Oryctolagus cuniculus: one gene and its partners. The protein of the gene in region 1 binds, or shares a complex with, the protein of each later gene. Links are inferred from orthologs where the notes say so. Each region holds a gene or a part of one and is shown on either strand. Other genes may lie near its edges. The genes, in order: HTATSF1, SF3A3 and DDX46.

The links.
Region 2: HTATSF1 (region 1) and SF3A3 share a complex: the UniProt entries of both Homo sapiens proteins name them as parts of the 17S U2 SnRNP complex. The link is inferred for Oryctolagus cuniculus from reciprocal best matches to the Homo sapiens genes HTATSF1 and SF3A3.
Region 3: HTATSF1 (region 1) and DDX46 share a complex: the UniProt entries of both Homo sapiens proteins name them as parts of the 17S U2 SnRNP complex. The link is inferred for Oryctolagus cuniculus from reciprocal best matches to the Homo sapiens genes HTATSF1 and DDX46.

Annotation. Positions count from the first base shown.
Region 1 is NC_091453.1:114,308,263-114,318,653, forward strand, and holds the end of HTATSF1 (17S U2 SnRNP complex component HTATSF1), read left to right. Parts: intron 1-2,584; coding exon 2,585-2,674; intron 2,675-3,577; coding exon 3,578-3,715; intron 3,716-4,545; coding exon 4,546-5,796; 3' UTR 5,797-6,784; downstream 6,785-10,391. UniProt on the Homo sapiens protein: Component of the 17S U2 SnRNP complex of the spliceosome, a large ribonucleoprotein complex that removes introns from transcribed pre-mRNAs.
Region 2 is NC_091438.1:134,818,990-134,828,992, forward strand, and holds part of SF3A3 (splicing factor 3A subunit 3), read left to right. Parts: intron 1-28; coding exon 29-81; intron 82-186; coding exon 187-292; intron 293-2,757; coding exon 2,758-2,830; intron 2,831-3,150; coding exon 3,151-3,242; intron 3,243-4,552; coding exon 4,553-4,635; intron 4,636-5,281; coding exon 5,282-5,420; intron 5,421-6,038; coding exon 6,039-6,107; intron 6,108-7,391; coding exon 7,392-7,459; intron 7,460-7,622; coding exon 7,623-7,730; intron 7,731-9,668; coding exon 9,669-9,738; intron 9,739-10,003. UniProt on the Homo sapiens protein: Component of the 17S U2 SnRNP complex of the spliceosome, a large ribonucleoprotein complex that removes introns from transcribed pre-mRNAs.
Region 3 is NC_091437.1:22,993,128-23,003,130, reverse strand, and holds part of DDX46 (probable ATP-dependent RNA helicase DDX46), read right to left. Parts: intron 9,727-10,003; coding exon 9,561-9,726; intron 6,664-9,560; coding exon 6,512-6,663; intron 4,497-6,511; coding exon 4,383-4,496; intron 3,773-4,382; coding exon 3,607-3,772; intron 2,687-3,606; coding exon 2,566-2,686; intron 1,690-2,565; coding exon 1,514-1,689; intron 630-1,513; coding exon 508-629; intron 1-507. UniProt on the Homo sapiens protein: Component of the 17S U2 SnRNP complex of the spliceosome, a large ribonucleoprotein complex that removes introns from transcribed pre-mRNAs.

The DNA of each region.
Region 1 (10,391 bases):
TTCTTAGAAAATTTCTACATGTACCCAGCTAGGTTAAAATAGTATTCCTAAAGAAGGGATTATTATCTTTTAGCTTCAGCAATTAATATAGATCAGTTTTTCAAAGCTGGTAAAAACAAACATGGAGATCTGGTGAGACTTTGGCTAAGATTTGGTATCTTACAGGAAAAGAACCAAAAAGTTGGTTTAGAAATAAAATTGATGCCTCCACCCCACCACATCCTACCCTGCACACCCTAATGGGAATGCTTAGATTTAAAATTGTTGAGTGTTTTGTTTATTTTTAAGTAATCCTGATTTCCATTGGTGAATAAAAGAGATATTAGGAACAATTTATCAAATTCTGAAAAAGCTTTTATTGATTGTTGGCTGTGTATGAAAGTCTGTACTGTAGGAGGTATTCTGCAAGGTATACAAAATGCAGTAAAACAAAGCTCCTGCCTTTTGAAAGCATACAGTCTCATAGTAGCTGACCAGACACACACATCACCAAAGGCTACCACATGACTTTACCAGTGACTTTAATGCATTCTTCTCTGGTGTTATAATTCTGTAGGAAACAAATTCGTTTCTTCAAAATTATATTTATAAGTAGGGAAATCCAGAGTCTTCCAAGTGTAATTTCAGAAGCCTCAGATTTGTGAAAATGAGTAGGACTTTGTATTTTTTATTTTGAATCTAATTTTAGTAAATGCATACCTAGTTGCTTATTTTTGCATTTTGAGAGAACTTCAGGGCAGGAGTGCCATTTTTGTTTTTGTAGTTCTTTGCACTTCTTCCTTAGTTGCTGAGAAAAAAAAACTCTGTAAGAAAGATAGATACATTTAAGTGCTTCCCAGAAAGTGTAAGTTGACTTAAATAGAAATTCATAGAAGGATATCTTCTATTTGTATGTAGTTGAAATTCAGGTTGATTTTCTTTTTCTGTCTTTTTCAGGCATTGAGGATTGGAGAAAAATTTGTTAATTTCTACAGGGAATCTTTTTTTTAACTTTTATTTAATAAATATAAATTTCCAAAGTACAGCTTTTGGATTACAGTGGCTTTTACCCCCCATAACTTCCCCCCCACCTGCAGCCCTCCCATCTCCCGCTCCCTTTCCCATTCCATTCACATCAAGATTCATTTTCAATTTAGTATATCAATTTAGTATATATTAAGTAAAGATTCCAACAGTTTGCACCCACACAGAAGCACAAAGTGTAAAGTACTGTTTGAGTACTAGTTATAGCATTAATTCATATTGTACAACACTTTAGGGACAGAGATCCTACATGGGGAGTACAGTGGCTCCTGTTGTTGATTGAACAATTGACACTCTTGTTTATGGCGTCAGTAATCACCCTAGGCTCTTGTCATGAGTTGCCAAGGCTATGGAAGCCTTTTGAGTTCACAGACTCTGATCTTATTTAGACAAGGTCATAGTGAAAGTGGAAGTTCTCTCCTCCCTTCAGAGAAAGGTACCTCCTCTTTTGATGGCCTGTTCTTTCTACTGGAATCTCACTCACAGAGATCTTTCATTTAGGTCTTTTTTTTTTTTTCTGAGTGTCTTGGCTTTCCATGCTTAAAATACTCTCATGGGCTCTTCAGCCATATCCAAATGCCTTATGGGCTGATTCTGAGGCCAGAGTGCTGTTTAGGACATCTGCCATTCTATGAGTCTGCTGTGTATCCCGCTTCCCATGTTGGATTGTTCTCTCCCTTTTAATTCTATCTGTTAGTATTAGCAGACACTAGTCTTGTTTTGATCCCTTTGACTCTTAATCCTATGTTATGATCAATTGTGAACTGAAACTGATCACTTTGACTAGTGATACCTTGGTACATGCCACCTTGATGGGATTGAATTGAAATCCCTAAGGAAAATCTTTAAACCTCTTGTTATGGGGAGGAAAGTCTACCTGAATTTAAAGCTACTAGAAACAGTAGTGCTTGGATGTTCTTATTAGAGTTGTTCATAGTTGCAAGAAAGCAACAGCAAGAATGTATGTTATTGTCTGTTTAACATCGGGTAGTGCAATGTGGTAGGAGACAAGATGAACAGGAATGCTCATAAGATTTACCCTGTGATTTAAAATAGACTCTTAGAAGCCTGAAAATCAATTATAGAATACTTAGTCATTGAAAAGGCTATGTTTCTCTGCATTCTAACGTTTCTGCAAGTATGAATCTATCCAAAACACAAAACAAAAGGCTCTCATCACTTCCATTGTGATGGCCATAGACAACATAGGAACTAGCAGTCGTTACTCATGTTCCACACTTCTGCCATCACAGTTGATGTAGATTTGGAATTGCCATTGATACTTCTCTTGGCTTTCCCTTACCACTGTACACCCCTTCTGCCATCTGCCATATTTGTCTATTTCTTCTATCTTAAAGCGGGACATATTGTCGTAGTAACAGTGGCTCAAGTAGTCTAGCTTCATTTGATTTTGTTGTTGTTAATTTTATAAACTGTAGACAAGCATAACCAACCTTAAGCAAAATGCTTTTTTATTCAGTTAGTAAGAACAAGATATTTTTCAGGATTTATAGTTAAAGAAGTGAGCAAAAATTCATTTTAATCATTTGTATTTTTGCAGGATGATCCTTTGGTGTTGAATGAGATAAGAGAAGACCTTCGAGTAGAGTGTTCAAAGTTTGGACAAATTAAGAAGCTCCTTCTCTTTGATGTAAGTTCATGGCTTGGACAAATGAATCCTAGATCAGTCATTCTTCCCACTGAATAAGTGGTGACCAGACATTTAGATGCCCATGAATTTTAGATGAATATTTTTATATAGACGACCTGCTATCTTGTGTTAGTGTTTAGTTAGTAATAATTAGATAAACATAGATTGCAAGTCAAAGCTTTGATAGATTTGGTTATTCCTTGTTCATTTTTCTTCATCATCACTCTATAATATTTGATCAGGAAAATAAAGTACAAGAAAAATGTATGAGACCTTATGATTCCCTGTTTGCCTGCCTTTCTCCCTCTCTGGGAATTATTCTCTCCCTGCATATTTGAAACAATCAGGAGAGATAATTCTTCTTTATGTTTCCCCTTTGTATCCTTTTTGTGCTTCCAAAATTAAAGCATAATAATTAAAAGTCACCATTGCTTGTGTACTACATGGTGTGATACATGTTATCCCATTAAATTCTCATAACCCTTGGAGGTATATAGGCATTATTCCACCCATTTTCTGGATGAGGGAGCTAAAATGTTAGAGATTGAGCACTTTGTCCAAGGTCATTCAGCTGGTAACTAACAAAGCCAGGATTTCATTCCAGGGCTATCTGGCTTCAGAGTTTACACTCTTAACGGTTATACTTTCTTGCCTCGCATTAGACAGTGTTGTCAGCAAAAGCATTTCCAAGGACATTGCTTGGTTCTTGCTAGATAAGACTAAGCTAAAGAAGCAGCTGGCTGCATTTTACAAGCTGTGATCAAAGAGAAGAAATAATACATAAAGTCATTTAGCTTAAAGTAGCAAAGAGAACGCTACTCCCTACCTACTGTGTCACATGCTTGTATGTCTTATGTTTTTATCTTATCATTTGTTCCTTTTTTTTCCTTGTTGTCTTTCTAGAGGCACCCAGATGGTGTAGCCTCTGTGTCCTTTAGGGATCCAGAGGAAGCTGATTATTGCATTCAAACCCTTGATGGAAGGTGGTTTGGTGGCCGTCAAATCACTGCTGAAGCATGGGATGGGACTACAGATTATCAGGTAAATTCTGCAGCTGTCAAGGGCACATCCATTGCATCATCACTAACAAGTACTAATACAGCAGCCCTTCACATTTAGGTTTTAGGTTCCGTTTTATCTGTTTAATGTAGCAATACTTATTTTAAATACTATTTTGCATCTGAAGGTTAGTAAGAGAAATATTTCAGTCTTCCAGTTTATGAGTCTGAAATTTTGAGGCTGGCTTAGGATAGTGTAAGAAAAGAAGACATTGAGCCAAAATGTTTCTCTTCCTTTCTATGTCATAAAGTACAGTTGGAGCTAAAATATTAACTTTTGAAAAGGTGAGAAATTGCTACAGTACTGTGGTGGTTTCATTTATTTAAATGATCTTATTTATGGTAAACTCTGGTAAATCATGATGTAAAGTTTTTTAAAATTAATTGATTAACTAGTTCGACAGGGAGAGAGAGAGAGATCCCCCATCCTCCAGTTCACTCCCCCAAATGTCTGCAATAGCCAGGGCTAGGCCAGGCCAAAGCCAGGATCCTGGAACTGCAACTGGGTCTCTCATGTGGATGGTGGTTGGAACCCAAGTACTTGGGCCCTGGTGGATGTTAGCAGGAAGGTGGATTGGAAACAGAAGCAGAACTTGATCCCAGGCACTCCGGTATGGGATGTGAGCATCCCAACTGGCAACTTAATGCACTACCACAACACTTGCCCCAAGATGGAAATTTTTGAAAATTTAAGATGGAATTGTTTTAATTTCTGAAGAAGAGGTACCATTGATCAATATTAGAAATGCCCAGAGAGGTTACTTCTTTTTGCCTAAAAGTTTTTTTTTAATGACAGTTTCTATTTATCCACAGGTGGAGGAGACCTCCAGAGAAAGGGAGGAAAGGCTGAGAGGATGGGAGGCTTTCCTCAATGCTCCAGAGGCCAACAGAGGCCTTCAGCGATCAGATTCTGTTGTTGCAACAGAAAGGGCAGGGCCTTCTAGAGTAAGGCACTTTTCAGAGCACCCTGGCACATCTGAAATGAATGCTGAAGATTCCGCAACTGAAATGGCGCTTGAAGAACCTATTGATGAGAAGTTTGAAAAGGCAGAAGATGGGGGAGGCTTTGAAGAAGATGCTTCTGGAAATGATGCTAAAGAAGGTGGCCCCAAAAAAGAGGCCAAAGAAGAAGAATGTGAAGAGAACTGCCCTGAAGGAGAGTCTGAAGGAGACTGCCCTGAGAGAGATTGTGAAGAAGGCTGCCCTGAGAAAGAGTCCGAAGAAGGCAGCCCTGGACAAGAGTTGGAAGAGGGGACTCCTAAAAAGGAGTTGAAAGAGAATGGCTCTAAAAGAGAAAGAGAATCTCCAAAGAAGAGATTCAAAAGTGATTATGAAGAGAATGGCTTTGTGAAGGAGTCCAAGCAAGATGACCCCAACAAGGATTCTGAAGAGGAGGGTGGCCCCAAAAAGGAGTCTGAAGGGGATGACTCAGAGAGAGAATCTGAGGAAGAACACTCAGAAAAACTGTCTGAAGATGGCTCTGAAAAAGAATTTGAAGGAAACGGTGTTGAAAGAGATTTTGACGAAGATGGCTCTGATCAGGAATCTCATGGAAATGTTCTTGAAAATGAGTTAGAAGAAAATGATACAGACAGATCTGAATATGATGAGGGCTCTGAGAGAGTGTTAGATGAGGAAGGCTCAGAGAGAGAGTTTGATGAAGATTCAGAGGAGAAGGAAGAAGGGGAAGATCCATATGAAAAAGTTTTCGAAGATGAGTCTGATGAGAAAGAGGATGAAGAAGCAGATGAAAAGGGGCCTGAAGATGCTGACGAAAAGGAGGAAGAAGCCAATGCAGATGAAAAGTTCTTTGAAGATTCTGATGAAAAGGAAGAGGAAGAAGATGCAGATATGAAGGCAGGTGATGAGGTAGAGGAGAAGTTATTCGAAGATGATGATTCCAATGAGAAGTTATTTGACGAGGAGGAGAATTCCAATGAGAAGTTGTTTGACGATTCTGATGAGAAAGGGACTTTGGGTGGTTTTGAGAATGCTAAGGAAGAAGGGCCCCTGTCCACAGGCAGCAGCTTTGTCCTCAGTAGTGATGATGATGATGATATTTGATCCCTTAAACTTGCTTCTTAGGGAGAGTCCTTCATCTCCATTTGCCTGTGCTTCAGGGTCATTACTAGTAGTGTTATATGAACATGTGCATAGTGGTAGGCTGCCATCATACTAATGCATTGGAGTTTTTTTCATTGTTACCTGTGCCTAATGATTTTAAATGTGTTCTTTGGCTGTTCAGTTAAAACTTCAGTTATGATGCAAGTAAACTGGATATTTGTCCTTTTGTCAGATTTGTTAAATGCATGCAGAATAATATTTTTAAAAGTATTCTGATTGAAGTTTGTGATATTAAAAAAATAAAAATAAGTTGAATTATGCAAAAACTGAAAATTGTACTTTGAGTTACACTGGATTTGGAGTTCCTGCTATTGCTTTATTCATACTAAAGGTTGGTTTTTCTAAGGACTTGAAAAATCCTGCTGGAGTCTCTCTCTCTCAGCTTGTGTTAACCGCTACAGCCCCATTTTCTTTCTCTAAACTGGAACCTGTTGCTAAGCCCATAAAGGAAATAACACTCGGGATTTTTTCATAGCCCAGTCCTTGCAGGTTACCTTTTATTTGTTTTCTACCTTTTTGTTATTAAAATTAACTGTTAGATATACACAAATGATCTTACTGGAAGTATAGGGAAGGAGATTAGAATTCTACCCTACACTGTTTCTTGACCCTTTTGTGTTTCTTTAGAAGTTGATTACAGTTTTGGGACTTACAGGAAAATGTACACATACACACTACACAGCTGCTTGTGTACTATTTGGGGAGGTTCATGGATCCTCTGAACTTAAGTACCTTTATCTTGCACACTTCAGTTTGCTTTCATTTTTGTTTTAGAATCTCGGTGCCTAGCATTACACAGAGTTGTGTCATCCCAATAAAATTGTGAATCTTTCTTCATTATATCCAAATTCAGAATTGATGCATTTAATTTGTAGCACTCAGAAGTTTTCTTATAAAACAGAAAATAAATTGTGTCGGTGTTCTTTCATCATAGTGTCTGTAAGTGTAATCATTACCCTATTTAGAAAAGGGCTTCTATACTTCAAGGTCATTTGTCTTAACAACTTTTTAGATGTTCTCTGGGGATTTCTTAAAATCCTCAGGATTTTCACCAGGGATAAGTCTGTAAGTAGTTAAAAGAAACTAGTTTAAGAAGTTAAAAAGAAAAATTGCATACCACATAGTGTTCCCTTTAAAGATAATCAAGAAGCATTTGAACATTTATTGGAGAATTGATTTCCTAAATGAAAAGAATATTTACACAGTGATTAGGATACATAGCTGATAACAAATTAAGGTCATTGTAAGGAAGGCATTTCCATCTACATGAAAATGCACTCTTGGGAATCCAGAATCTGTCAAAAGATAATGGGTACATCTAGTCTGTTCAGATATTAACCATTGTTTAGTAAAGATTCCACCATTTGGGGATGGAAAATACATTAAGGATGTAGTAAACTTTGCTTGGGAACTGCACTAAAAACATTGCTGACCCTGGCATGCTACCATCTCCTGTGTAAACACACATTCTATGCGTGTGTGGAAAGAGGCTTCAGTTATGGGAGGCTGCCCTCACATCTTGACCTCTTTTCTCCTGCTCTTTAATTTGGTTGATATTAAATACTCATGTTCTTTTCATATAAACACTCAAAGAAGACACCAAAGAACTATAAAGTGGTAAATAAGACATGATAGAAATTAAGTCATGAGGCACACAGACCCACATGATTATGAATTAGGTTTTATATTGGTTCTGAAAACTATTGTAAAGCAACAATACATACTGTTATCAAAAGGGAATAAATTTTGGGAGGTGGCTTCCAAGTACAGAAATGCTGGAAACTTATCTGATAGAATTTCTAAATTTAATGCTCACTAGGCTATTTAATTTACACAAAATATTGAATAATGCATTCAACCATAAATTCATGAACCAGAAGTTGATTTCTGGCATGCCTTAAATGGTGTGAATGCTTTGTTTTCTGAGTCTATGAGTACCTTGTATGAGTACAAATGTGAAACTTCACATTAGATATTTTTTAAAAAAAATACTGGTCTTGGCAATATTACTGAAATGCTGAAATCATTATTGCTTTCTACAACAGAAACTTTAACAAGGCAAAATTGGAATAGTTTTTGTTAAGTATGTCTCTTTTCCTTTGCAAGTAGTAACTCTCCTTGTCACCCTGGGGAGCCAATGCAGTCCATTTGGAAGTCATTACCTCTTCCTTTTCAGAATGTAATCTATTTCCCTAATGTAAATTGGTTATTTCTGAGGCCCTGAGAGAAGATAGGAATTAGCTAATATTAAGCATTTCCCAAATAATAAGATGAATCACATTTTTTAAAGCCAAACATTTTCATGTAATGCAAAGAAGTGCTCTTAATTAATTTGAACAAATCCATGGCTTAGAGAATAGAGAGAGGCTTGTAAATGTGCCGTTCATGAATATTGTCAATATTCTTTTAAATAAAGATTTCTATCTGAAAGAATGAGAACCACAGAGTTCTTCCATTTGCTAGTTCACTCCCCCAAATGATTGCAATGACTGAGGCTGGGTCAGGCTGAAGCCAGGAGCCAAAGACTTTATCTGGGTCTCCCACATGAGTGGCAGGGGCACTTTGATCATCTTCTACTGCCTTCCCATGCATATTAGCAAAGGGCTGGCTCAGAAATGGAGCCACCAGGACTGTAACCTTACCAGCAATGTGAGATGGGATGCCAGCATCGCAGATGGTGGCTTAACCCACTGTGCCACAACCTGGCCTCTGTTGTCAATATTCCTATGGATTGTTTTTTCCCTATAAAGTTTCAGATGCATGCCTGTTTTTATATGCTCACTTCAATTCATTTGAAATGAGCTGGTTTGGAGCCAGAATTATGGCTCCTTGCTAATGTGCCTGGGAGGGCAGCTGAAGATGGTCCTTGCCATCTACGTGGTAGAGAAGGAAGGAAATCCTGGCTCCTAGCTCCTGTCTTCTACCTGGCCAACTGCCTGATGTGGCCACTTAGGGAATGAACCCATTTTTCTCTGTCTCTTCCTTTCTCTCTCTCATTCTGCCTTTGAAATAAGCAAAAATGTATCTAAAAATGAAATTTTAAAAATCAGTTGGCTGAAGAGATGTTTGCTTCTTACCACATCTCATGTTACATGACTGGCTTTGTTTATAACTAAGTAAAAAACTTCTTGATACAAGAAAAAAAAAGTTCAACTTATTCCTTTCCAAAATCACAAGTTGATATTGCAAATAGCCTAAATTCTTGGATACCAGTTGGCACATAAAACGACTACATAGCAGAAATACTTCATCATGTAAAGTTGACATTTGGTTGTTTGGAATTTTATAGGTTTATTTTACCAAGGTTTTTAAAGCAAGGAAATACTGATGTTATGGTGTTTAAGATGCATTACCATCAGAAAGCATAAACAGATTGTCTTGTGTTCATATTTTAGTTATCTGCAGAACTTAAAGACTGTAATGTTAATATACAGTGTTCATCCCAGGCTAGATTACAGAAAGCTAGGATAGCAGCAGCAGTATGAAAGTATGGCTTTTTTGCTGCCTGTCTTCTGCTTTCTGCACTGCTTCTTAGTTTCTGCTGAAACAGTAATGATAATATTAGAAGAGCCAAGCTCAGAATAAAACAGCTTTTAAAAAATTTCTATTTATTTGAAAAGCAGAGGAGGAGAGGGAGAGAGAGACTTCAGTATGCTAGTTCACTTCCCAAATGGCCACAACAGCATGGGTTATGCCAGGCCGAAGCTGGAAGCTAGGAACTCCATCCAGGTCTCCCATAGGATGTCCTATTCCATGGATGGGCAGAGGCTCAAGGACTTGTGCCATCCTCTGTTACCTTCTCAGGTGCCTTAGCAGAAAGCTGGATTGGAAACAGAGTAGGCAGGACTTGAACTGGTGCTCATATGTGGTATACTATCCTCCTGAGTGACAACTTAATCCACTGCACTATAACAGAATAAAACTGCCCCCCCCAGAATAAAACATCTTTTAATTTACCATTTTCCAGGTTTATCCTTGAAATTAAACAAGCAATATTTGTAAAGCTACATCTTAATGTAAAATTTCCATATTTAACTAAACATGTATGTCTGAATTTAATATTTAAAAATATGGTTATCTTTACTTCTTTTCCCAAAAGCAACTTTATGCTACCTTGTAAATTAAAAAGCACATGCTTCAGTTTTTATGTGATTCTTAAGTAGTTACAGATTAGAATTAATAAAAATGTGTACAGCATTTCAGTGCTTCTGATAATCACCTTAGTGGAAACCTTGATTATCTCATTGACATTCTGTTAGACTATTGATCTAGTGTATTCACACTCACTCTAAAATCTTTGAATAATTTGATTTAGTCATTTAGCAGGCCTATGTTGGGCTAGTGTGTGCCCAATTATATGCTAGATGAGATGTAGCAGTGAACAATATAAAAGCATGGACCCTCCTTCAATGACCGGTGTAATGCCTGTGTTGAAAGACACAGCTGAAAAACAATGTGACATTGATCCAACAAGACCAATTCTAGAGCCTGGAACAGTATCAGCACATAGGAGTTCAGCAAATATTTGTTAAGTG
Region 2 (10,003 bases), on another chromosome or scaffold:
ACTCTGATGGACTGTGTTTGCCTTTCAGAGGTACATGGAGGTCAGTGGGAACCTGAGAGATCTGTATGACGACAAGGATGGGTGAGTGACGGTTGCACCCAGTCCGGGAGTTAGAGCGTCTGAGGAGCCATGGTTCAAAGACTGACTTTGTGCTCTGTGCTCTTTGGATTTTTCTTGAAACTGCAGGTTACGAAAGGAGGAACTCAATGCCATTTCGGGACCCAATGAGTTTGCTGAATTCTACAACAGACTCAAGCAGATAAAGGAATTCCACCGGAAGCATCCAAATGAGGTACGGCCTGGAAAGTGTTTTCCCCAAACCCGCCTACAGAGCGTCCTAAAGCAAAGGCATTAGGAGAACGGAGGTGTGCCGCTGGGTGTCCCTTTGAGAAAGGACTTGGCATTCAGCTACGAGGAGCATAGCTAGCTGACTCTGCAGGAGTGTTTTCAGGGTTCCCCTCTGCTTTTTAAGCTAAGGCCACATTCTTCCTGGACAGGGTGAGCGTTGCAAGACCTGGCTGTCTCTGCCTGTTGGGAGACTTCTCTGCTGAGGAATCTTTGCTCTAGAGCTCCCCGTTAGATGGTCAGGATTTGGTCCAATCTGCATAGAAGTCTAGGCGCGCTCTACCTGATCCTGCTGTCGCCTCCGTTTTAACTTTGACAGGAAGTCTCCCCACCCTCCCAATAAACTGTGGTCCTACCTGGTCTTGGGATATTTTACCTTCAGCAGGGATAGGAACATGTGGCCTTGGGCCTTATAAGGTCACTGAAATAATTGGTGTGGTCCTGCCAAGGCAACCAGTAGGCAGGACCCTAAATCCAATAAATCCATAGTAGACTAGTTTTTAAGTTGATCATTTTATATGGCCCATGAATGATGTTAAAAATACCCAAATGGCCCTTGTCAGAACAAAGGTTCCCCACCCCTGACCTGGAGGATCCAACTAACACCAAGATACTTGAGTCACTTCGAAATTCAGAATTCAACACAGAGGCCAACTCTCAGGAAATCTTTCCTGGCCTCCCCCACCATCTTTCTGTAATCGTTATTTTGTGACAGCGAATGTCCTGCTGCACCATATGATTGGAAGGAACAGGTTATGTCTGAGCATCCAGGACCTTTCCGCACTTCGCACAGCTGACCAGAGGAGTTGTCAGGCGGGCACGGGCAGGAGTGGGTAACCACGTGGCTTCAAGGAGGGAAGAGAAGGGTGAATAAAGATCACTCGGAGTTGTCAGCGGTGTAATTGGAACGTTGTTCTCTAGGTGGAAATAAGGAAGGAGGAAGTAACGATTTGCATTAGAAAAAAGGTTTTCCACGTGTGGCTCTTTCAGTAATGTTTAAAAGTAAACAGTTGGAGTTTGGTGACTGGGCTTCATGCCCGAGGTAGAGGCTTTAATCACCCCCTGGACTTGATGATGGACACTGTTTACCACGGAGTTCTGGGAGAGACAGAATGGGAAGCCAGACAGTCAAAGCTGCTCCGTGTGCTTTGGAACACACCTAAAATAACGCAGTTAGCCGGGCAGGAGCCTGGCGAGACGGCAGGAACAAGGTCAGATGACAGCGGCTAATGGTAGAGTTTCAGAAAGGCAGTCCAAGCAGCGGCTGATGCTGACCCGGAACGGCCAGCACTGCTGTTTGTTGAAGTAGTGGGAATGGAGATTGTCATGGTGCAGTCACGGGGGAATACGAGTATGGTCTGTGGAGCGTGCGTTTGAAAGGAAGAAGAGGAGAAGCTGGAGGGACGTGAGGAGATAGGGGAGGTACACGAACTTCAAGGAGCACGTGGGAAAAGGAAGAGACAGTACCAGAATGGAGAGGCAGCTCGTGGAACTGTGGCAGCAGATGAAGGTACTCACGTGTACGTCTGGGTTCCCTCCCTCGGAGGATGGAGCATGAGGTGTTGCGCTGACAGAGAAGACATGATTACCGTCCTGCTGTACTAACCAGATTCCAGGCGTAAGTGCTAAACAAGTGATTGCGAGGATGCTGAAGATGTCACACAGGCATTAATATCCTTGTACAAACGCATTTTTTAAAAAAGATTTATTTATTTGAAAGGCAGTGCCACACAGAAGGAGAGACAGAGATCCTCCATCCACTAGCTCCCTCCCCAGATGACCACAACCGCCAGTTTTAGGCCAAGCCAAAGTTGGGGTCCAAAAGCTCCCTCCAGGTCTCCCACATGGGTGGCAGGGGCCCAAGAATTTGAGCCATCTCCCGCTGCCTTCCCAGGTTCATTAGCAGGGAGCTGGATCAGAAACAGAGTAGCCAGACTCCGTCCAGTGCTCTGATACGGGATAGGATGCCAGCAGCGCAAGCCGCAGCTTAACTTCCCGCACCAAGATGCCAGCCCCTGAAGAGGGACTTTGATTTTCTCTTCTTGTATTTCACTTTTGTGAGCATGTGTTGATTTAACAGTTTTTTAGTCAAGTAGTGCAAAGAGGATTAGACAGAAATTGGAGTACTTAGGGTAGGCTCCTAGTGAAAAACCCCGGATAAAGCACCAGAAGTTGAACTTTCTGGAGCCAGGTTGTGGCACAGCAGGTTAAGTTGCCGCCTATGATGCTGGCATCCATATGAGTGCTGGTTTGGGTTCCAGATGCTCCACTTCCCATCCAGCACCCTGCTGACGCACTTGAGAAACCAGCGGAAGATGGCCGCGTGGGAGAAGTTGAACCTTCTTTGTACCCCATTTCTGTGACATTGCCACTTTTACATTGAAAAATCCCCCTGACTTCTCTTTTCCTCAGATCTGTGTGCCAATGTCAGTGGAATTTGAGGAGCTCCTGAAGGCTCGAGAGAATCCAAGTGAAGAGGCACAGAGTAAGTGGAGTTCAGCATTGCTCTCCGGCTCCACGGGGCCCTAGAGAAGTTGGTAGCCAGTTATTTTTGCTGGTTTTCCCTTTACTGATTTCTCGCTGAGATTGATATCCTGAGCTGGCCATGAACAAAATACATGTCCATTTGTGCTAGGGTAGCTTGAATTCAGTGGCCTGGAAAGCTGAGGTGTGTTCACTCCGTGAGCAGAGAGGAGGACATGGGGGTAAAGGGTAGCCTCCTGGAACTGGGAGTGAAGCAGTCCATCTGAAAAGTCGTACAAGCAAGTGAGCTGCAGTGGCGTTGGCCTTTTCTGATTCCTTCAGATTTGGTGGAGTTCACGGATGAAGAGGGATACGGTCGCTACCTGGACCTCCATGACTGTTACCTCAAGTACATTAACCTGAAGGCGTCTGAGGTAAGGCCTGCGGGCGCTGAGGTTCTGCTTCTGGAGCAGAGGTCAGGACTGTGGGAACACTGGACGCCTCACGTTACAGTGGCTTAGAAACAGCAAAGCGGCGGCCTGCTTTCTGGAATGAAGCAGCATTCAGAATGAAAGATTTCTACAATAATTTCTACACACTAAGTGTATTTATTTTTTAATACAGAAAACATTGTTTTCTTTGTAAAACTAAACTTTTCATAAACTCAGAAATACATATCACATTCTTGAATGAAGCACACACAATACTAGTGATAGGCACACATGATACTAAGTGCGTGGAAAATACAGCAGCATGATCTCTGCTGGCAGAGGGCTATTTAATGTCTTTTTTTTTACTATTAATTTATTTGAAAGGCAGAGTTACTGACAGAGTTCTGCCACCTTATGGTTCACTCCCCAAATGGCTGCAATGGCCAGAGCTGGGCCGATCTCAAGCCAGCAGCCAGGAGCTTCTTTAGGTCTCCCACGTGGGTGCAGGAGCCCAAGCACTTGGGCCATCTTCTGCTTTCCCAGGCCATAGCAGAGAGCTGGATGAGAAGTGGAGCAGCTGGGACTTGAAATGCAGCCATATGGGATGCTGGCAGTGCAGGTGGTGGTTTTACCCACTACGCCACAGCACCAGCCCGTTTAATGTCTTTTCTAAAAGATATTTTAAAATTACTCATGCAAACAGATGATTACTATGACCATCTCAGTTCACAAGGAGGTATATAAGTTTACTTCAAATAATTTGTGGAAAATGGAATTAAAAGAAAGGTTATTTTGGGATAAAATTTTTTGTGATCCATACATAGGAGTATGATTAAGTTCCTCCCTCAAGAAATTCTGAGGAAATGTCCCCACAGTGCGTGACAACTTTAAGTTCTGTGATGGCAGACCCTGTCTTGTTATCTTCTGCATCCCCCATGCTTGGCACAAAGATGCTCAATGAGTGCATGAATGAACAAGTAGTACCTTTCAGCACCTTATTTTAGGATGTAGTGGTTGTTAAAGTCTTCAGCCAAGATTCTGGCGTGCAGTGTTCCAAAAATTCCCCTTTTCAGATCATTAACTTGATCTTGACATTGTAGAGTTGTGGTGTGTCTGCTGGCCTTCCACTGAGTCCAGTGGAAATATCTCTAATATTGGGGACTGATCCATGGTGGAGGTAGGGGGGAGACTAAAATAGCCAACTCTTGTTACTTTCTTAGAAAGTACTCAATTTTGATCTCACTTACTGAAGATTACATCAGTTTGATGCAAATACTTAATTGAATCTCTTTCCATTTTCCCCCTCTTTGCAGAAGCTGGATTATATCACATACCTGTCTATTTTTGACCAGTTATTTGACATTCCTAAAGAAAGGAAGAATGCGGAGTATAAGAGGTAAGCGTTAGTAGCTGCCAGGGCTCTACTTGATTGTATTAGAAGATACTGTGAAGGTTCAAGGGAAGCGTTCTGAATTCTGCTGGAAAGGCAAACGTGAATGGTTTCCAGATTTATTGCAGGTTAGGGTTGTAAATGATACAGTTTTAAAGAATTTGTGGTACACTGACTTTGGGCAAGCATGTGTCTGTGGGCACATCCGATTTCACGCCCGTACTGTTGTTGATTTTGTCTTATTGTAGAAGGAAGTCTCTCACTCAGAAACTTCGGTTTTTGGAGTTTAGAGAAGAAAAATTTCTCAGATTGTGGCTTAAGTGAGGGGCCTGGGTCTGCTGTATAAATGAAAAGTTACATTTATGCTAATTATGCCACCGCTTAGTGAGCCTGCATCCTTAGCTCCCTGTGTTTTTCTTTTTACCTGCAATCTTTTCTGTAAGAGTTAATTAAGACTTTAGTGCTTGACATTATGTCACAAGGATGAAAGCAGGTAGGAAAAATCAATCAAAATGATACGGTGGGGGAACGTCAATTGTAAACTTAAAAATGAGTTATTACTTTAGTAACTAGCACTATTAGAATTGTAAGTATACTACAGAGAGCATAGCGATGTATTGAAAACAGAACTGTTTGCTGTCTGTGGTGTCAGATATCTGGAGATGCTGCTTGAGTACCTTCAGGATTACACAGATCGCGTGAAGCCCCTCCAAGATCAGAATGAACTCTTTGGAAAGATTCAGACTGAGTTTGAGAAGAAGTGGGAGAATGGTACCTTTCCTGGTTGGCCGGTGAGCTCCAGTGGGGTTTGGGTTTATTTTCCTTTAATCTTGAGTGTCTGCTTAGGGCAGGAGTGGGGAAAATCCAGCCCATGGGCTGTATGAGGCCCACAAAATCATTTGATCTGGCCCTGCCAAGGCAGCAGCGGGTGGAACTTGAAGTTCTATAACAGGCTAATTTTTAAGTTGATGATTTTGGATGGCTTGAGAATGATGTTATAAATATCCAGATGGCTCTTGGCAGAAAAAGTATTCCCTACCTCCACCCAGGGCATTAGGATGTTGTTGGTATCAGTTGTGGCCGTGAGGCGTTGTTCCTACCAGGTGTGCTCGGTTTGCTCTGTGTACGTTGGAACAAGGTTTGTCAGGGCCCATTTGCCGTTGACTGAGCCCTGCTGACCAAAGTTCATTTAAATTATGTGATGATGATCGGTGTTTTCACTCCTGGGGATGTTGCCTGATCCATCAGGGAGAAAATGTACCTTCTGTTTTTTTCTGTGCTCGTGTAAAAACTCGCTCCTTATTTATAAATGTGTATAAAAAAGGGACCCACCAACACCTTTTAATGTAAACAGCTCCCTTACTCTGGTCCTAAACCTGGATTTTCACAAACATCATTGTTCTTGCCAGAAAGAGACAAGCAGCGCACTGACCCATGCTGGGGCCCATCTTGACCTGTCTGCATTCTCCTCCTGGGAGGTAGGTTTTTGTCAGCAGCATCTCTGATCTGTCCATCTTTGAAAACAGCCACACACTCTCCTGCTTTAATGCCATGGACGCGTTATCTTAGGGCACCATTTTCTGGGACCAGGTGTTAACAGAGAATGTGGAAAGAGAAAAATAAATTCACAGCTTTGAAAGTAATTTTTTTTCTCCCCAGAAACCTTTATTTAGGGAATATAAACCTCATGCATTTCCTAAGTACAACTTTAGGAACGTAGTGATTCTTCCCAGAATACTCACCCTCCCATCCACACACCCACCCCACTTCCTTCTCACTCTCCTATTCCCATTCTTATTTTCCACTAAGATCTATTTTCAGTTAACTTTATACACGTACGATTAACTCTTAGTATAGAGTTTAATGAATAGTATGAAAAAAATGTTCCTCAGCAGTTGAGACAAGGGCTGTTCAAAGTCATTGTATCTCAAGGTGTCAATTTCACTTCTATAGATTACCTTTTAGGTGCTCTGTTAGTTATCAGGGAGCACATACAGTATTTGTCCTATTGGACTGGCTTATTTCACTAAGTATGATGTATTCTAGTTTCATCCATTTTGTTGCAAACAAGATTCCCTTTTTTTTTTTAACCACTGTGTAGTACTCCAAGGTGTACATATCCCATAATTTCTTTATCCATTCTTCAGTTGATGGACATTTGGGTTGATTTCACATCTTAGCTATCGTGAATTATGCTGCAATCTTTTTTTTTTTTTTTTTTAATTTTAAGATTTACTTATTTACTTGAAGTTATGGTGAGGGAGGGAGAGACAGAGAACTCATCCATGTGCTGGTTCACTTCCCAAATGATCACAACAGCTGGGTCTGGGCCAGGCTGAAGCCAGGAGATTTTTCTGGGTCTCCCACATGGGCCCAGGCACTTGGGGGATCTTCCGCTGCTTTCCCAGGCACATTAGCAGGGAGCTGGATTGGAAGTGGTGCAGCCAGGACTTGAATCAGCACCCATATGGGATGACAGCATTGCAGGCGGTGGCTTAACCTGCTACACCACAGTGCCAGCCCCAAAAAGGACTAATTCTAACTACATTAGGTTGTGGTGGAAGGAATGGAACACTACCAGATGGTTCTGTCTGGACATGACCACAGAGTCAGTCTTGTGGAGGCTTTGCACTTCCTCAAGGAGATTGACTCTGGGCTGCGTGGCCCTGCCAACTTCAGGAGCACCCACACACCAGCTTTCGTTTGTTGTTGCCCAAAATCTAGTTCTGTGTTACTGGAACCTGTCTCTCTCATTTATGCAGGAGCTGGCCTCCTTGGGTCTGGACAGACTGAAATCTGCCCTCTTAGCTTTAGGCCTGAAATGTGGTGGGTAAGAGAATGACTTTTCTATCGAAACTCCTACTTAGTGTGCACATGTTTACGTGATTTTCTAAGTATTTTTTGTATATTTTCCCATCATCACTTACTGTAAAAACAAGCAAGCATGTATGGTATGAAGTAACCCTGTAATACTTTGTTCCTCCTGTCTCTAGAACTCTCGAAGAGCGAGCCCAGAGGCTGTTTAGCACCAAAGGAAAGTCCCTGGAGTCCCTTGACACCTCTCTCTTCGCCAAAAATCCCAAGTCAAAGGGCACCAAGCGGTGAGTGGCTAAATGGCGCCTTTGCGTGTGAATTTTTTTTTTTTATTATTTATTTATTTTTTATTTTTTTGACAGGCAGAGTGGACAGTGAGAGAGAGAGAGACAGAGAGAAAGGTCTTCCTTTGCTGTTGGTTCACCCTCCAATGGCCACCGCTGCCGGCGCTCTGTGGCCGGCACACCGCGCTGATCCGATGGCAGGAGCCAGGTACTTATCCTGGTCTCCCATGGGGTGCGCCCAAGCACTTGGGCCATCCTCCACTGCACTTCCCTGGCCACAGCAGAGAGCTGGCCTGGAAGAGGGGCAACCAGGAAAGAATCCGGCGCCCCTACCGGGACTAGAACCCGGTGTACCGGTGCCGCAAGGCGCAGGATTAGCCTAGTGAGCCGCAGTGCCGGCTCACATGTGGATTTTAAATTTTATTCTCATGCAGAATTTTTGCAATGGATTTCAAAGCCTGTTTCATTACTTTAATTGGCTTATGGAGATCCATTGTGCTCTTTATCTCTGCTATTGGCAGAGAACTGCCACTGTTGGTAGAAACCAAGTGTAATCTATACTCCCGTAATTGAGAGCACTGAAGTTTGATGTTGAACTAGTGTTATCTGAATAGGTTTTGAAGGCTATAAGACTGAATAAGTTCAAAAATATGTTTCTAGGTTTATTTGTTTATAGATTAACTTTTCTATTTGAAAAGCAGAGTGACAAGAAGAGACAGAGAAAGAGATGTTCTGTCTGCTGACTCAGTCCCCACATGGCCACAACTGTTAGGCCAGGCTGAAGCCAGGACCTTGCAACTCCATCCAGGTCTTCCACGTGGGTGGCAGGGAACCAAGCACTTGGGCTTCTGCTGCTTTCCCACACTCATTAGCATGGAGCTGGATTGGAAGTAGAGCAGCCAGAACTCGAACCACTGCTCTGATACAGGATGCCTAATGTGGTACACTACAGTGCTGGCCCCTCTAAATAGTTTATTTTTACAAAGACAGTTGAGCTACAGGGTTTTTTGTTTTTTGAGAGCCAGAGAGAGAGAACTCGCACTTGCTGGTTCACTACCCAGCTGCCTGCAAAGACTAGGGGAGCAACACCAGGAGCTGGGAACTGAATCTGGATCTCCTGCATGAGTGGCAGGAACTTAGGTCACCATCGCTGCCTCCTAGGGTCTCTGTCAGTAAGAAGTACAGTTGGGAGCTGATAGGCAAACCCAGGCACTCTGGTATAGGATGCTAGTATCCCAAAAAGCATCTTCGTTGATGGACCAGATGCCCACCCTAGGATATTTTAATTCTCACGGCAACCCTGAAAAGCAGTGTTACAGTGGTTTCTCATTTTTGGCAGATAAGGATTCAAGGATAGTTGTGGAGTCTGTCCACTGCCTCACAGTAGCCAAGTAGCAGAGTCGTTGCCGCAGAGCACACTCCTCTACGCCTCGTTCATTTGTACGTTAGAATAGTGGGAACTTCAGTGGTCTTGGAAGGACTCTCACCTTCTAGAGGAGGTCCAATTCCAAGAACTAACCTTGGGGCCGGCACTGTGGTGTAGCCGGTAAAGCAGCCACCTGCAGTGCCAGCATCCCATATGGGTGTGGATCTGCGCAGCTCCGGCCGTTGCAGCCAACTGGGGAGTGAACCAGCGGATGGAAGACCTTTCTCTCTCTCTTTCTCTCTCTCTCTCCCTCCCCCCCTCCCTCCCTCCTTTTCTCCGCCTCTCCTCTCTCTGTGTAACTCTGACTTTCAAATAAATAAATAAATATTAAAAAAAAAAAAAAACCCTCAATGTTCCTGTGAGAGAGTCCAGAGGTGAACAGTGCGCTCTCACAGTGTAAGATTTCTCATGTGCTTCTAATTTTTAATATAGCTGTGAATGGATATTCCCAGTTAAAGAGAGTAAAGCATTGAATGAAAGAACCCTTGAGTGATACCAGTTTTTCTTGTTCTCAGAGACACTGAGAGGAACAAAGACATTGCTTTCCTGGAAGCGCAGATCTATGAATATGTTGAAATCCTTGGGGTGAGTAACTGACTCTGGAGAGTTGTAAATCTACAAAGTATAGGAGTAAGAGAGAGAGCAACTCTAACGGGATGTTTTTTTCAGATTCGGAAGGGGATGCTATTAAACTGATTGAGAACAAAGTAGGGTTCTTGGGGTCCTTGGCGCTTCAGAAAGTTCTATTCTGCTGTCAGGTGATATCCCCAAGGTTGATCCATTCTTGCAAGGCTCTGGCTCGAGAGTAGACTCCCCTCTCAGTGTGGCCTCCAGAATCACACCAGTGAGC
Region 3 (10,003 bases), on another chromosome or scaffold:
GTAACTCTGCCTTTCAAATAAACAAATCTTTTAAAAAATTAAAATGATTTTTTAAAAAAAATAGAGTAGTTGGAAGTCAAACCAGCATTTGTATATGGGCTAAGGGCATCCCAAGTAGCAGCCTAACCCACTGTGCTGCAAAGGTGCCACACAATGTGACGTTCCAATACACACACATTGTGAAATCAGCACCCCAATCAGGCTAGCTAACATCACCGCACAGCTAGCATTTTTTCTTTTAGGCAGACATATTAAAGATCTACTCTCTTAGTAAGTTTTAAATATATGACACTATTATTAACTATTGTCTCGATTGTCTACAATCTCCAGAAAGTATGTATCCATCATAACCTAATCCAATTCTACAATTGTTTGCACACTGAGTATGTTTTAAGATTTTAGAGGCAATCACTAGTTGAAACACTAAAATTCAAGATCACTCCGTTTACTGATCATTCAATTTGAGAAAAGAACAAGAACTTGAACGTTTCATTTATAAATACCTACCTGCTCACTGATTCCTGTTCCTCCATAAACACACACCACTCGAAGTCCCAAGGTCTTTGAAAACTTCTTACATTCTTTAGTGATTTGCAAAGCCAATTCTCGAGTCGGAGTCATGATGACAGCTGAAAAGATAAATATGTCAAATCCCTAACCATCAAAATTCTTGAGAGGCTGTGCTTTCAACTGTTAGATCTCTCAGTCTAATTTTTATTTGTATTTGTTTTATGAACCTCTGAAAGCTCTATTTCAAAAACTTTAAAACAGCAGAGGTTGTGGTGAAGGGTAAGTGTTGGTAGATTTTAGGAACATGCTACAGGAAAATAAATGAGACTTAAATGCCACACTCAACCCTTGGGAAAATGGTTGGTTGAACAGAATGCAAATAGTTCTCAACTGCAAATCAAAGAAAATCAAGTGACTCACTGTGCTGCAGAAGCCATACCGCTGCTTCCGGAAACAACCTTGGTCTGAGGGGCACAGACAGAGGAGAAAAATACTGTGCCCTGTATTTCCAAGAGAGGGGCTGGACAACTTTCCAGAACTCCACTTACATTTGCAGAAGATGCCCAAATGAATCAAGAAATAGGAATCAGAAGGCCTAATGCTGGAGCAAATGCTGGCACTGCAGCCTTAAGGCCGTTACCAAGAAAACTCGGAAATCACATCTGCCTAGTTCTCAGCACATCCACCGACACTCGGCTAGAACAAACCTCAACGCAGATAAACAGACAGATGCACGAGGGGCTACCTGCTGAGTCAGAGCATAAAAACTGAGCTGTGCCGGAGAGGCTGTTTTTGTACTTCTGAGATGTCACTCCAGAGCTCCGAAAGTCTCACTCCACCTGCTGGTAAGGGGAAATCAGCCCCAAAGTGCCATATTGAAAAAGGATATGGACACAGAGATATCTTTATTGTCATAGTTAAGAAATGATAAGACATCATGTCCTTCTGATTAACTGACAACAAAGCTGTTAATCCTTTAAAAGTTTAATGAGAAGTATTGTACCTATTGGCCCCTCTCCTTCTTCTAAGGACCTCTGATCCATGATGTGTCTGAACATGGGCAACAGAAAAGCAATGGTCTTTCCACTTCCTGTTTTGGCAATGCCAATCAAATCTCGTCCAGACATTATGGCAGGAATTGCTTGGGTTTGGATAGGTGTGGGCTTTTCATAGCCATGCCTGAAAAGAAAAACCAAAGGAAAAGCAGGTAAGAACTGAGGACTCCGAGTTCCTGAGAGATGTTAAGAATAAGCTCTTCCAAAATGTGACTAATCCATACAACAAAATATTATTTGGCAATAAACAGGAAATAAGAACTAGGACATTTTACAACACAGATGAATCTTCAAGATATTATCATGCTAAATGAAAAAACACACACCAATGACTACATACTGCATAACCCCATTTTTATAAAAGGTCTAGAATAGCCAGTTCTATAGATAGCAGTACAGGGTGGTGGAAATGGGAGAAGAATGACCACTAATAGACACAGGTTCATTTCAGAATGAAAAAAAAAAAAGCTCTAAAATTACATTATGGTGATGGCTGCACAACTCCATAAATCTAACACTGAATTACAGACCTTAAGAGTTAAATTTCATGATATGTAAATTATTCAACAGTACTTCAGAATGGTCATGGAAATTGTGCCTTATCATCTAATTCCATTTTCTACCAACTTCTTGAAGTACATGAAAACATTTAAGAAAAAGAGCTTTTCTCTGTGTGGGTGCAAACTGACGAAATCTTTACTTAATATATACTAAATTGATCTTCTGTATATAAAGATAATGAAAATGAATCTTGATGTGAATGGAATGGGAGAGGGAGCGGGAGATGGGTGGGTTGCGGGTGGGAGGGAAGTTATGGGAGGGGGGGAGCCATTGTAATCCATAAACTGTACTTTGGAAATTTATATTTACTAGATAAAAGTTTAAAAAAAAAAAAAAGCTTTTCTATTAGAGTAAAAACACAACACAGGAAGTTATTTGTGTGAAAGGACTATTTTGAGTACCAACACACGGCAAAATATACACAATCATCACCACTTACTTTTTGAGGGAATTTAAGATCTTCATGGAAATTCCACATTGGACCCAAGATTTAATTGGTTTGGGACAACCTTTTCCTTTGACTGTAATACCTTCCATTTCCAATCGAAATACATTCACCTCTGCAAAGCAAAACCCAGATTAAAAACCCTTAAATACTGTTTGTTGGTGTCTTCTTTTCAGTTAGGAATGGGACAATCAAGAATTCTAACTCCTTTCTTTTTTAATATTATCAAAGATATTTTCATATCGATAATTTTTTTTTAATATTATCAAAGATACAGGAGAAAGCATCAAAAGATTTAGATAGTTAAAGCGATTACCGTCATAATTAACTGAAAATAAAAATCAAAAATAAAAACCCAGACTTCAACAATTAGTTTTTGGTTTTTTAACAGCACAAAAAGGCAATGTCGCCAGCACTGTGGCATAGCAGATAAAGCCACGACCTGGAATGCCAGCATCCCAAATGGGAACCAGTTTGCGTCCCAGCTGCTCAACTTCCAATCCAGCTCCCTGCTAATGGCCTGGTAAAGCAGTAGAAGATGGCCCAAGTGTTTGAGCCCCATGTGGGAGAACCACATAAAACTCCTGGCTTTAGTCTGACCCAGCCCTGGCTGTTGCAATCATCTGGCAAGTGAACCAGCAGATGGAAAATCTCTTAATTGATCTCTCCCTTTCTTTCCATAATCCTGACTTTCAAATAAATAAATCTTAAAGAATAGTGAACGGTAACTCAAACCACTTACCCTCCTAGCAAGAGTTGCCTCACTATCTCTATCCAACCAATAACACACAATAGCTAAAGCTGCTAACTCAAATCTCCGAAGGTAAGGACTCACAGAAATATTTTTAACCTCACATTAGTATTTTCAATGCTAAAAATACCAGATGCATAAGCTGAAGTCATTATTGCTCACTTTTCTAATAATCCCCAACACACGCCCCTTTAACTCACAGCCCACCCCGTTTATCCAGGACAAAGTAAGACAAATCCTCTTTTGTTGCCACTGCAACCAACACATAAATAAAAGAATTTTACCCTCTTGAGACATTTTTGCTAGTTCTGGAACTTCAACATAGAAGTTTTTTCTAAATGGTTCATATTCAATTTTTCCATGATCAACGGGTTCCAGCAGTTTCCTCTGTTTTGTCTGATAGCCTGTAAGGGCCGTCTGTAGATCAACTTCTTCTTCCTCTGAAGAATACTATAGTTTAAAACAGAGAGTTCAGGTTCAGTACTCTACCTCTTACGAGAAGTAACAGTCCTAGTGTTTAAAAGTCTCTTCTTCCAGACACCACTCGACAGCTTTTATTTTTTTGCTTTCTAAAATAGATGACTTGGCCTGTACTTCTGTGCTGCTCCAAAAAACTTAAAACTCCTAATTTCAAACTGACCTAAAATGAAGTCAGTTTTTATGAATGAAGTACCAGGTTCTGAGGAATTTTTCAATTTCTTTTTTCTCTGCCCTTACAGAAACTTACAATGCCAATATAAAGCAAAAACCATTCTCAGAGATGGCTTTAATGAGCTTGTCCTACTGCTCTCACTTATTACATAAACCTTCACAGCATGTTAGTGGAAGAAATGTAAAACTCACTGCCATTTCACTTCCCTTTATATTCGACTCCTGGGGTGAGGTGGGTGGGGTGGGAGAAGGAGAGAGTGAAAGATTCAGAAAGGTTCACCAGTGGTCTCTTTAACAACAGAACTACTGCACGGCTAAGAACAGCAGGAGTCCCTTCCAGTGGCAATCTGCAGAACTGACTGCACACCCTCCAAGGACAGGATCACAAAGTCCCCGAACCAGGAATCACCTCCATGGCATCCTGGTCGTTCTCCATCAGCTCCCCCTTCTTCTTATCAGCGTCCACGACTGCTTTCTTGGTTGTCACAACAGTGACGACTTTTGTGACCGTGGGTCCAGACTTCTAAAATCGAAAGGGAAGATACAAGTTTGCAAAACTGAAACAGAACTCACATGCCAAACGAAGCACAATAACAGTCACAGCTTATGATTCAAATCAACTTCATTGTGATCCTTTAATCATAGAGAAGACTCTGCTGTGCTCCTTAGCATAGAAGTTTAAATGAAATACATTGTATTTTATAATGGATTCAAATATAGTTTGTTGCATAATACAGTTTTATAAAATGATTATATATAGACTATTTTTCACTCATGAAACAAATCAGGCACTATTCTAAGAGTTCAGATGAATAAATAAGCAAAACATTAGTGCTCACAGCCTTTGGGAAATTGTATTTTAGAAGGGGAAAAGCACAAAGAGTAAATGCAAAAAAAATTTTAATTGTATAATGATGGGGCCGGTGCTGTGGCATAGTGGGTAAAGCCATCTGCAATGGGAACATTCCATATGGGCACCAGTTCAAGTCCCAACTGCTCCACTTACAATCCAGCTCCCTGTTAATGTGCCTGGGATGCAACAGAGCATGGTCAAGGCCCTGCACCCACTTGGGAGACCCAGAAGCAGCTGCTGGCTCCTGGCTTTGGACCAGTCCAACTGGCCACTGCAGCCATTTGGGGAGTACACCAGCCAATAAGACCTCTCTCTCTGTCAATCCCTCCTTTTCTCTATAACTCTGCCTTTCAAATAAATAAATAAATATTTTTTAAAAAAATCAAAATTTTATAATGTTAAGAGGCAATAAATAAATGCTATTTAAAATGAAAAGGGGGAAGGGGCGGCACCATGGCAGAGTGGGCTAAGCCTCTGCTTTGTGGTGCCAGCATCCCATATGGGCACCGGTTCTAGTCCCACCTGCTCCTCCTCCAATCCAGCTGATATGGCCTGAAAAAGCACTGGAAAATGGCCCAAGTGCTTGGGCCTCTGCACCAGCATGGCTCCTAGCTTTGGATCAGCCCAGTTCTGGCCATTGCTGCCATTTGGGGAGTGAACCAGTAGATAGATGGAAGACCTTTCTTTCTGTCTCTCCCTCTGTATGCAACTCTACTTCTCCAGTAAACAAATAAAATCTCATTTAAAAAAAAAAAAAGAAAGAAAGAAAAGAAAAAGAGAGTCAATGGTTGGAGTCCTGGCAGCTCCACTTCCAATCCAGCTCCCTGATAAGTCTTGGGAAAAGCAACAAAAGATGGCCCAAGTGCCTGAACTACTGCCACCGTCATGGGAGACCGAAATGAAGCTCCTTGCTCTTGGCATCAGCATGGTCTAGTCTTGGCTGTTTCAACTATCTGGGAAGTGAACCAGATGGAAAATCTCTGTCTCTCTCTCTCTCTCTCTCTCTCTGTCTCGTCCACTATCTCTATAACTGACTTCCAAATAAATAAATCTTAAAAAAGAAAAAAAAAAAAAAAAAAAAAAAGCCAGAACAGGATGACAAGAGTCAAGTATGAAAACTTGAAAAAGTAAAGTGCTAAGGGCCAGCACTGTGGCACAGTAGGTTAATCCTCTGTCTGTCTGTGGCACTGGCATCCAATATGGGTGCCAGTTTGAGTCTCAGCTGCTCCTCTTCCAATTCAGCTCTGTTGTGACCTGGGAAGGCAGTGGAAGATGGCCCAAGTCCTTAGACCCTCTTCACCCACGTGGGAGACCCAGAGGAAGCTCCTGACTCCTGGATTTGGTCTGGCTCAGCTCCGGCCACTGCGGCCATTTGGGGATTAACCAGGGGATCAAAGACCTCTCTCTCTGTCTCTCCCTCTCACTGTCTATAACTCTACCTATCAAATAAATAGCTAAAATCATTTTTTAAAAAATGGAAAGTGTTGGAGAAGTCTGTAGAGGACGTACTGAGAAATAATGAGCAAGGAAAGACATTGCACAAACACAGTATGGAGGGCAAAGTGGCCTGCTGAAGAACATTTCACACCTAATCTCGGTGTCTCTGGCACCGAGAAACAGTACTGCCAGCTCTGAGAAGGGAAAGAAACAGAAAGCACAGAGTTCACATGCAGAGAAGAGCGTACCTTCTCATTTCCCCCGCCACCTTTCACACTTCTCATGTTAAACTTCTTCACTTCCTCCTTCACCTCCTCCATGTAAGCGTCGAGCGGGTCCAACTCCTCACCCTCCACTTCATTCCCGTCCTTCTCAGCTTCTGCAGCATCATCTTCATCATCTGAAATACCAAAACACACTGTCCTCGCACGGGTGTTCTGCCAGACTGACGCCACGCCCACCCTGCTAGCCCTCTCCCACCCCTCCATGCCAGGCACACTGCAGTTCGGATGCTTACACTTCGAAGTTCTCACATTTATGGAAAGCAGTGGATTCCTTCTGAATAACAAGAATACTGATGAATGAAAAAAAGCCAGCCGGCACCGCGGCTCACTAGGCTAATCCTCCGCCTAGCGGCGCCGGCACACCGGGTTCTAGTCCCGGTCGGGGCGCCGGATTCTGTCCCGGTTGCCCCTCTTCCAGGCCAGCCCTCTGCTGTGGCCAGGGAGTGCAGTGGAGGATGGCCCGGGTGCTTGGGCCCTGCACCCCATGGGAGACCAGGAAAAGCACCTGGCTCCTGGCTCCTGCCATCGGATCAGCGCGGTACGCCGGCCGCAGCGCGCCGGCCACGGCAGCCATTGGAGGGTGAACCAACGGCAAAAGGAAGACCTTTCTCTCTCTCTCTCTCACTGTCCACTCTGCCTGTCAAAAAAAAAAAAAAAAAAAAAAAGCCAATGGCCTACAAATCAATTCACCGAAAAGGGAAAAAAAATGAACTGCACCTTAAAAATTGGTCTCCAGTATTAGATTTTATAGCTACACTGCTAGAAGAACTAAAAAGTCTGTCGTCTAGTATAACAGTGAAGTCACACTCCACAACAGAGCATGAGACCACGTCCCACTTCCACTTGTAGTCCAGCTTCCTGCTGATGAGCACCTTGCATTAGGCAATGGCTCATTTGGGTACCTGGCTCACACACAGAAAACTCAGACTGAGTTCCAGGCATGTGGTTTTGGCCTAGACTAGATCTGCCAGGTGTGAACATCCAGGAAGTAAACCAGAGAATCTGAGATTCTTTCTCTCTGCCTTTCAAAGAAATGAAGGGCCAGCGCCGTAGCAGGTTACGCAGGTGAAGCCACCGCCTGTGGGTCCAGCATCCTATATGGGCACGGGTTCAAGTCCCTGCTGCTCTACTTCTGATCCAGCTCCTGGCTAATGTGCCTGGGAAAGCAGCAGACAATAGCCCAAGTGCTTGGGCTGCTGCACACACACTGGAGACCTGGAAGAAGCTCCTGGCTCCTGGCTTCAGCCTGGCCCAGCTCTAGCCGCTGCAGCCATTCAGTGAGTGAACCAGCAAACAGAAGACCTCTCTTTCTCTCACTCCCTCTAGATCTGCCTTTCAAATAAAGAAATCTTTTTTTTAAAATGAAAATAGGTTTGTTTTAAAGAGTTTCTCTGTTAAACTATGTTTTTAATTTTCTCCTCAATTACCTTTAGGAAAAAAAGCACCTCTATTAAATCAACACAGTATAATCTTTTTCACATAATTAAGACCACTTATAGACAGAATGCATTCATCTAATTAAACCACTCTTAGTAATTTTCACAGAAAATGGACCAAAATTCGATATTCCTATAATATAAAAGTCCAAAACCTTCCAATTTACTAACAGAAAATCTGATATGGAAGGGAAAAGCGTCTCTCCTCAATTATGAAACATCAGGAGGGAGCTAAAAGCGCACCCTTAATTTACTCTCATTACCAACATTCACACAAGCAGTAAACAAATAAAACCGCTATTTACAAACTATGCCTATAGCTCTCTTTACTCTTAAACATCCATCAGCAATTCTTACTGAACTCTACAAGTGAAATTCAAACATAAACATTAAAAGGAGCATTTAAAGACACAATATTGACCCAGCAATCCTACCACTACACACACACCCAAAGAACTGGGGACAGGAACTCAGCAGGTGTTTCTGCATCCATGTTCACAGCCCAACTGGTGATAATCAAAAGCCGACACCAGGCGGGGTGCTCGGCCGGCCCGTCAGTACTCTGGAGACTTGGCTCAGTCCCATACGGCAGTGCCTTATACGGGACTGAGCTCCAGCTCCCGATTCCACCTTCCTGCTAAGGCAGACCTCAGGAGGCACCAGGGTTGGTACAAGTAAATGGGGCCCTGCCCAGCACCTGAGAGACCTGAACTGACTTCCTGGCTTCCTACTTTGGATAGGCCCAGTCCTCGCCACTGTGGGTATTTAGGAATTAAACATGCAAATTAGTGCTGTGTCTTGCTGGTCTCTCAAATAAAACTTTAAAAAGTGAAAAAAATCTAAGTGGGACCAGCGCTGTGGCACAGCAGGTTAAAGCCCTGGCCTGCAGTGCTGTCATCCCATAAAGTGCTGGTTCAAATCCTGGTTGCTCCATTTACAATCCAGTTCCCTGCTAATGTGCCTAAGCAAGCAGCGGAAGATGGCTCAAGTCCTTGGGCCCCTACACCGACGTGGGAAACCAAGAAGAAGCTCCTGACTCCTGGCTTCGGACTGGACCAGCTCCAGTGGTTGCGGCCATTTGGAGAGTAAACCAGCAGATGGAAGATCTTTCTGTCTCTCTCTGTAACTCTGTCTTTCAAATAAATAAAATAAAACTTAAAAAAAAAAATCCGAGCATCCAGGAACAGATAAATGGATAAACAAAATGAGGCAGAGATATATAAGGGAGTACAATTCAGCCTTATAAAGAAAATTCCACAACACAAATGAACTTAGACACATTACGCCAAGAGAAATAAGCCCGATGTACGAGCCAGGTACACTGATTCCCAGATTCCCAGAGGCTGTGAGATTCGAGGCTACAGTGTGGATGGGGAGTAGAAAGGGAAGCTCTTTCATGGGTACACAGTCTCTATTTTGGACGAGAAAAAAATCCCATTTACTTATTACCACTAAATTATAAGTGGTTAGGAGAGTAAACATTATGTCTGTTTTTCTACAAAACAAAAAGCCTCCCCAAATCCCATCATGAAGTATGACTCATAATTCTACAATATTAGGCTAAAAATCAAATATACCGTCATCATCCTCTAAGCTCCATTTTTTCCCTTGTTTCATCTCTTCAATTTCCTTTTTCAGTTCCCCTATGTTTTCCATGGCCTTTTTACGTTGCTCTTCTCGCCATTTTTCTACTCTTTCTTTTCGCTTTCTCATTTCTTCTTCCAGCTTATTCTGGTCAAAGTTCTTAGGAGGTTAAAAAAAAGAGAAAAGAAGAAAATAAAAAGCAAAACCAGCTTAAAAGTTTTACTCTAAATGACAGCCCAAATAATTTCTCCAAAGCATAAAAAAGGGAAAGGAAAAACAGGCTTACATACAAATTTCAAAATGCAGACTGGATTTACTAAGTCACAGATCTTTATAAGTGCATTCACAAATAAATTACCAAAACAAAATCTCAATTAAAAAAAAGAATCAATTATGAAAACTGAAAGATTTTAAATATCATAAATTAATTTCATGG